Linked DNA regions of Schizosaccharomyces pombe. The protein of the gene in region 1 interacts with the protein of each later gene in a biochemical or structural test. Each region holds a gene or a part of one and is shown in the gene's direction. Other genes may lie near its edges. The genes, in order: hta2 and rna1.

Region 1 (3,569 bases):
GCAAATCGTTTGACTTCTAGGGAATTATATGATTTTTTCGAACAAGCTGGTCCTGTTCGCGATGCTCAAATTGTTCGAGACAAGATTAGCGGACGATCGAAAGGGTATGTCTTATAATTTTTTTTTTTTTTTTAAATAGATATTATTCTGTTTTTTTTTATTTTTCAAATTGGGTTCGTTTGCTAACGAATATAATATAGTGTTGCATATGTGGAGTTCTGTCACGAGGATTCTGTACAGGCGGCTATTGCGCTTTCTGGTAAGCGATTGTTGGGTCTTCCTGTCATTGTACAACTTACAGAGGCTGAAAAAAATAGAAAAGCTCGTGAAGCTGCTGAGTAAGTTTTTACTAAGCATCCATTATTTTTGTCTAACTTATTTGTAGATTGGCACGAGCCGCTAGCGCTGAAATTCCATTTCACAGATTGTGTGTCTCAAACATTCACTTCAACCTTACTGATGAAGATGTTAAGGCAATTTTCGAACCTTTTGGCGACATAGAATTTGTACACCTTCAGCGTGATGATCAAAACCGAAGCAAGGGTTTTGGTTATATACAGTATGTTTTCAAAAAATTAGATTGATATTTATATCTATTTAACTTCAACGACACTAACATTATATTTTTTAGATATCGAAATCCTATAAGTGCGAGAAATGCTTTGGAGAAAATGAATGGCTTTGATTTAGCCGGAAGAAATATGAGGGTTTGTTTGGGCAATGATAAATTTACTACAGAAACAACTAGTTCCATGCTGAAGCGCTTTGACGAAACGTTGGCTCGCCAAGAACGTAGTCAACCTTCTCAACGTAATGGCGGTTCATCAACCTACGAATCACAAGACTATCGAGAAGCAGCTCCTTTATCTCCTACTGAAGAAGAAAGCCGTCCCATTACAAGAGATGAGCTAATGAAAAAGTTAGCACGCTCTGAAGACATTTCAGACAACAGGTATGTCTTGTTTTAACTTGGATCCTTTTTGTCTTCTAACATAAAGCAGTAAACTGGTATCTGAACCAGAGCCTCCAATTCGTAGTAGATGTGCATTATTAGAAAACATGTTTAATCCTGCTGAGTACGTTTTTTTTATGATTCATAATTGACTAACCTTTAAAGGGAAACATCACCTAATTGGGTGCAAGAATTGGAGCAGGACGTCAAAGAAGAGTGTGATGAAAAGTACGGCAAAGTAGTTCACATTGCTGTTGTACCGAATGAATTGGGGCAGATATTTGTAAAATTTGAAAATGCCGATTTTGCTGAAAAGGCAATCACTGGACTCCATCAACGTTGGTTCGGAGGGCGTACAATAAAGGCATCCATTTTACCGGAAACGGATTACTACTTCAAATTCCCTAATGCCAAAACTGCTTAAACGTCGCTCTCTACTAAACTTTGCTCTGGAATTGATGTGTTTTACCTTTTCTCAGAAAGTTCTTTTAAAACAAAGCTTTTTGTACTTTTGCACGTCCTGTTATATTTAGTTTAAACTACGATGGTCGATATTTAGTAGCAGACTTTTCTTTTTCCGTAAAATTAAGAGTATACTTAGTTTAATAAAATCATAAATATGTACATATATTGATTGAATTTTAATTATGTCTAACTAAATACATTCGACGAATTTGCAGGATCATATATTATAAGGTAGTATACAATCGTTCTAATCATAGTTACTGTGTCTTTTATATATTCCCTAAATATACTTAACGAAATTCGTTGTGCGTTCCAAATGCTGAGTATAATATCACTGAAACGAGTCTGCTATCATTCAGTGATGAATGCCCATAAACATCCATCAAAACCCTAACCCTGTATATTGCTGTATATAAAAGAGCTTGTCGCTGCATCATCTTCTTCTTCTCTAAATATTGGGCAATTGAGCAATCCTGCATACATTATTCCAATTTAAAACTTAAGTAATTTCTTTATCAAGCATGTCTGGAGGTAAATCTGGTGGTAAGGCCGCAGTCGCCAAGTCTGCTCAATCTCGTTCCGCTAAGGCTGGTTTGGCCTTCCCTGTCGGTCGTGTTCATCGTTTGTTGCGTAAGGGTAATTATGCTCAACGTGTTGGTGCTGGTGCTCCCGTTTACTTGGCTGCCGTCTTGGAGTATTTAGCTGCCGAAATCCTCGAATTGGCCGGTAATGCTGCTCGTGATAACAAGAAGACTCGTATCATTCCCCGTCATCTTCAATTGGCTATTCGCAATGACGAAGAATTGAACAAACTACTTGGTCATGTTACTATTGCCCAGGGTGGTGTTGTACCTAATATCAACGCTCATCTCTTGCCCAAACAATCTGGTAAGGGCAAGCCTAGCCAAGAGCTTTAAACTCTTAAATGAATGATAAATTGTATATTAAGATTATTTGTCGTTTATACTTAACTATTATTATACCACACTAATTGCTTGAACTGTTGGTTTCGTGACTTAATTCGTTCACACCTTTTTTTACGCAATTTCTCTATCAGAAATTTAGTTTTATCATTATATCAGTGATACAGAAACAAGTGCATTATTCGGTTGAGAAACTTTTTCATATGACTCATAATTCTTACGTTTTTATTTGGTTACATACTCTGTTTCAAGCTTAGTTGTTTGTACAGTACATTATTCGAGTTTGAATGATTGTTAGGTTTCCTGATGGTTGATTGACGCTTTCTTTTCTCGTTTGATGAACTTTCCGTGTTTTCCTCTTCCCTTTATTATACATTTCCTTTTTCAGCTTCCTTTGTATAGGCATAATTTGTTTATTATAGGTTTATTTTAATGAAAGAACTATTGGTTCAATATTCGCTAAACTTTTTGAGGTGCTTGTAGCATGTAATTACACTGCGTATTGTCTAGGTGCCTAAACATCAACCCAGATATATGGATTTGAATGAGTTTGGTGATTTATTATTGGTATAATTTAATTATGGTAGTAGTAACAGGGGCATTTAGGAAGTTGCAATTCAAAACATGCAAAACATGAATACTTCCAAAGCACAAAACATTTCAAAACTCTAGGGGGTTATATTTTTAATAATCTAACTATCTATAAAGCACCAAAGAAAGAATAAAATAATAAAAAGAAGATAATGTGAAAAAAGAACAAAACCAGTGAAGTGATTGCTTTAATGAAGCAATAATTATATATAACCAAGGATAAATCCATATTCCACTGCTTACGAGGATATTTAAAAAGGCTTGAGAATTTCCATAACTTTTTCGTAAACAGTGAATACAATACCACCACTGAGAATCAAACGAGCCAAACGGGGAGTAGCACCAGACCAGAAACGCAACAGACCATCTTGAGTTAAAATCTTATAAGCGCAATGAATACTGTTTTTGTATTCCTTACTAGCACTCAAAGATTGCATACGACTCTTGACAGTATCGATGGGTTGCGTACAATAAACGGTAATAATACCAGCTACAGAACCGACTAAGAAAGTGGTAACGGTACTCAACTTCTCATCTGGTGGTAATCTGCTTTGAAGGGATTGCTTGATACTATTATAGGCAGTAAAACGTACACCAGAATTAGCAGCTTGACGAGCGACAGTTGCAGCGAGACCACG
Region 2 (4,197 bases), 980 kb from region 1:
CATATCTTCATCCAGAGGTACTAAGTAGTCGTATTCTTGTACACTTGGTTTGGAAAATACATCTTGTAAACGTTCTAAAGCAGGTGAAGCAGAAAAAGAGTTTCCAAATTGGAAGTAAATGAGAAAAGAGCTAATCCCAATGATTAACAACACGAATATAACACGAGATAACTTCCACTGTAGGACTGCCATTTTAAAGATTAGCAGATGTTAAATGCAAATTAATAAAAAAATAAAAAATAAAATTTAGTCTTTTAGAGACAAGAGAAACTCTTTTTCAAGTTTCACAAATATAAACTGAGATTGGATAAAAGCAAAACAATAAGATACCAAGAATGGATCAGAAATTATGAATGAAATGGGAAACTTTCTACTCTTTCTCGGTAGAAAATTAGAAAGCCGTTTTAAAAATTAAAATGAGATTTGTGATATTCCAAAGAATACTACGTTTGAAACACGAATCTTCGCCCGTTGACTCAAGAAACGAGAGAAAACAGTAAAAAGAAATTGAAAATATAATGTAAATTATAATAAAAAAATATGAATGAATTAGATTCTTTAAAAAATGATTAACCAGATGGACCTGGAATTAAAGGCAGTGTGTAGTGGAAGGATTGAAATTACCGCATCATGGAGTCAATCATCATAAATTTACGGTTTCCTCTACTTATCGTATCCTATTTATAATAAAAGAAGAAAAAGAAGAAAAATCTGTATGGTAATGATTTATGTTCAAAATAATGAGTTGTTCCTTTAAAATCACGTTTCCAAACTTTTAATGACATGATTCACAGTACTTAAACATTTTAACCAGTTTTATACGTTGGGACAAATAACAGGAATGGCTTAATTCAGCAATACGTCTAAATCAATGTCATGATTGAATGGGAAAATAATCAAACGATTCAAATTGTTGAAACAGGTAAAGCAGATCAAGTACTGGAATGCGGACTGAAGTCCAATTCGAGAATGGTTACAACTATGAAATGAGAATTAATTTACTGAAAAGAATACAGTATCAATGGAATAGCTTTCCTGATAATGTGAAAGCTGTTTAAAGAGTATTCTATGTGTCTAGAGTGCAGACTCGTGGATTTTCACAGTAATGAATAAGAAATGTTAAACTAAAAATATCAATTGTTGTTATTATCTTGATTTTTCATATATCTGTTAAACTCCCGCTTTCCGATTTTCTTTTTGGGTCAACTCATAAATGTATATGTGTGAGTAACTGAAATGATCACGAAACAAGCGGAAAGCTGAAAGATAGGGATACTCATTTCAGATCTTTTTGATTCTTCATTTTTTGGAAGTCACCAAGCTCTTTTGGTCAATATTCCTTCGTTCAACTTCGTATTCTTATAAATGGACTAGCGATGAGGCAAAAATCTAGCAATGTTAATTGCTAGAAATGCAATTAAGTTAAAGCAAACTTAAGCTAAGAATTCAGGACTAAGGTCACTCAAAAAGGTTCTTCATAAGATCCTCTATACTTAGTCAAAAAAACAAACTATATGCAACAGGATTGTCACAGCTATTTTTTCAAAAATGAATGATAGATAAATGTCAAAAAAGCTCAATCATCCTATTTACAAAAGTTTTATACATGTCTTTCAGGAACGTATCCGAGCACTAATGCACCACTCCGACATTGAGTATCTTTCGGTTTGCGCTAATCTGATCTAATAATTTAAATGACTTCTAATAGCATAGAATCGTCTTAAAATTAAACTCATTAGCGAGAGATCGCATTTGAGTTTGTAAATAAAAACAGGTTGAGTAAAGGGGGTATCCGTCAAAAGAGGATAAATTTCGTTCTTCTTCTACTTTGAATATTATTTTAGTTTCTTTTTTAAAAGCCATGAATTCAAGTGACTGAAGCATCTATCCTCGATCAAATTTAACATACACAGCTAGTTCACACAATCTTTCCTCACCACCATACCTGCTATATTTTTTCTTTCAACAACCAACTCCATGTCGCGTTTTTCAATAGAAGGGAAGTCTTTGAAATTAGATGCAATTACAACTGAAGACGAGAAGTCTGTATTTGCTGTTCTGTTAGAAGATGATTCTGTAAAGGAAATTGTATTGTCTGGTAACACAATTGGAACCGAAGCTGCTAGATGGTTGTCAGAGAATATTGCCTCAAAAAAAGATTTAGAAATTGCAGAGTTTAGTGATATCTTTACTGGACGTGTCAAAGATGAAATTCCTGAGGCTTTACGTCTGTTGCTACAAGCTTTACTCAAGTGCCCAAAACTACATACTGTAAGATTGAGCGATAATGCCTTTGGCCCTACTGCACAGGAGCCCTTGATTGACTTTCTTTCAAAACACACACCTTTGGAGCATCTTTACCTACACAATAATGGACTCGGTCCTCAAGCTGGCGCAAAAATTGCTCGTGCCTTGCAAGAGCTGGCGGTCAACAAGAAAGCTAAAAATGCACCTCCCTTGCGTTCCATTATTTGTGGAAGAAATCGTTTAGAAAATGGGAGTATGAAAGAATGGGCTAAAACTTTCCAGAGCCACCGTTTGCTACATACAGTGAAAATGGTGCAAAATGGTATCCGTCCCGAAGGTATTGAACACTTATTGCTTGAAGGATTAGCATATTGCCAAGAGCTAAAGGTACTCGATCTTCAAGATAACACATTTACGCACTTGGGCTCTAGCGCTCTCGCTATCGCGTTGAAAAGCTGGCCCAACCTTCGAGAACTAGGCCTCAACGATTGTCTCTTATCTGCTCGCGGTGCTGCCGCAGTTGTAGATGCTTTTTCTAAATTAGAAAATATTGGGCTTCAAACGTTACGCTTACAGTATAACGAGATAGAGCTGGATGCTGTCCGGACCCTAAAAACTGTGATTGATGAGAAAATGCCGGATCTTTTATTCCTTGAATTAAATGGAAACAGATTTTCGGAAGAAGACGATGTTGTTGATGAAATACGTGAAGTCTTTAGCACCCGTGGTCGTGGTGAACTAGATGAGCTTGATGATATGGAGGAACTTACCGACGAGGAGGAGGAGGATGAAGAAGAAGAAGCTGAGTCTCAAAGCCCTGAGCCGGAGACTTCTGAAGAAGAAAAAGAAGACAAAGAACTTGCTGATGAGCTATCAAAAGCTCATATTTAGAGCAACTACTTTCCCTCTCGAACCCTGCTCCGCTGTTTCCGAAATTTTTTAACATATTTCTATTGTTCATGCTAGGCGGTAATGAACGATTGTGGTCAACGGATGGTCTATATCGACCATTCGATTTCCTTCTGCATTTTTATCAACATTCTGTCTTTTTACGCGGCAGGACCGATAAATAGTATTAGATTAAATCTGTATATGACAGAAAAAAAATTCCCCTTTCAAAAATGGCGAAAAGGTTCTTTACGTTTTATTAATAACCCACTTTAATTAAGTATTGGGTCAATATAATATGGTTTGGATTGTATCTGTGTAAAGTTGTTTTGTTGTTATGTCGTAAAGCCTGAACTATTTTTTCAGTATGTCTGTAAACCTCGAGATAAATTTTCTGTAAGTCGCAGTTAACTTTTAAGAATGTGGGGATTCCATTACTTGAGCTTGGTGTTTCCAAATATGATTGTACTACTGCAAGGACGAATTAGAAGCTTCACCTAGCATAGTACATACTCTACGTCCAACGCCATCTATTAATGTCAAATCCACCAACTCGGCCAACTTTGTATAATTTGGTGAATGCTGATGGTGAATTGTCTTACAGAGCTCGTGATTTAGTACAGGATTTTTCTGTTCCAATTCCACATGAACTGCCGGATCCTGTAAGTTCACAGCTTCTGCCAATACTTGTTTAACTAATCTTTTTATGTTTAGGATTTAGTTCATAGCATCCAGGATTTTGCAACAGAATACATGCTTGCGACAGGGAAAAAGTCATTCGAGTGTTTGGATGAAAGTGCTTTATTGGGGTTGGGATATTTGGTGACTGAATGGATGGATGCTATGGTTACTGATTGTTTGGAAGAATTTGAAGAAAGATGAATTATCCTTGTACATTTTACTTTTCATTCGTTTGTTTCGAGATGACTCCGTTACATTTGTATGACTAACTTTGATGATTTTTCTATATGGCGTAAAGTTGTTAAACAGCTATGAATGCGTATTTGTGTATTGAAATTTTTATCTTTTGATAATTGTTTAAAATCAACATTACAGATGTAA

What was found.
Region 2: the proteins of hta2 (region 1) and rna1 form a complex in vitro, tested with the Schizosaccharomyces pombe proteins (one study listed by BioGRID).

The regions. Positions count from the first base shown.
Region 1 is NC_003424.3:4,051,617-4,055,185, reverse strand, and holds hta2 (histone H2A beta), read left to right. Parts: upstream 1-1,867; 5' UTR 1,868-1,938; coding exon 1,939-2,334; 3' UTR 2,335-2,740; downstream 2,741-3,569. Other genes in the region: RNA-binding protein Rsd1, read left to right, coding at 1-104, 201-338, 386-559, 632-952, 1,002-1,076, 1,118-1,376; mce1 (citrate transporter), read right to left, coding at 3,183-3,569. UniProt on the Schizosaccharomyces pombe protein: Core component of nucleosome which plays a central role in DNA double strand break (DSB) repair. Nucleosomes wrap and compact DNA into chromatin, limiting DNA accessibility to the cellular machineries which require DNA as a template.
Region 2 is NC_003424.3:5,029,807-5,034,003, forward strand, and holds rna1 (RanGAP Rna1), read left to right. Parts: upstream 1-1,964; 5' UTR 1,965-1,977; coding exon 1,978-3,138; 3' UTR 3,139-3,455; downstream 3,456-4,197. Other genes in the region: alpha-1,2-galactosyltransferase Gmh3, read right to left, coding at 1-192; RNA polymerase I upstream activation factor complex subunit Rrn10, read left to right, coding at 3,672-3,797, 3,850-4,017.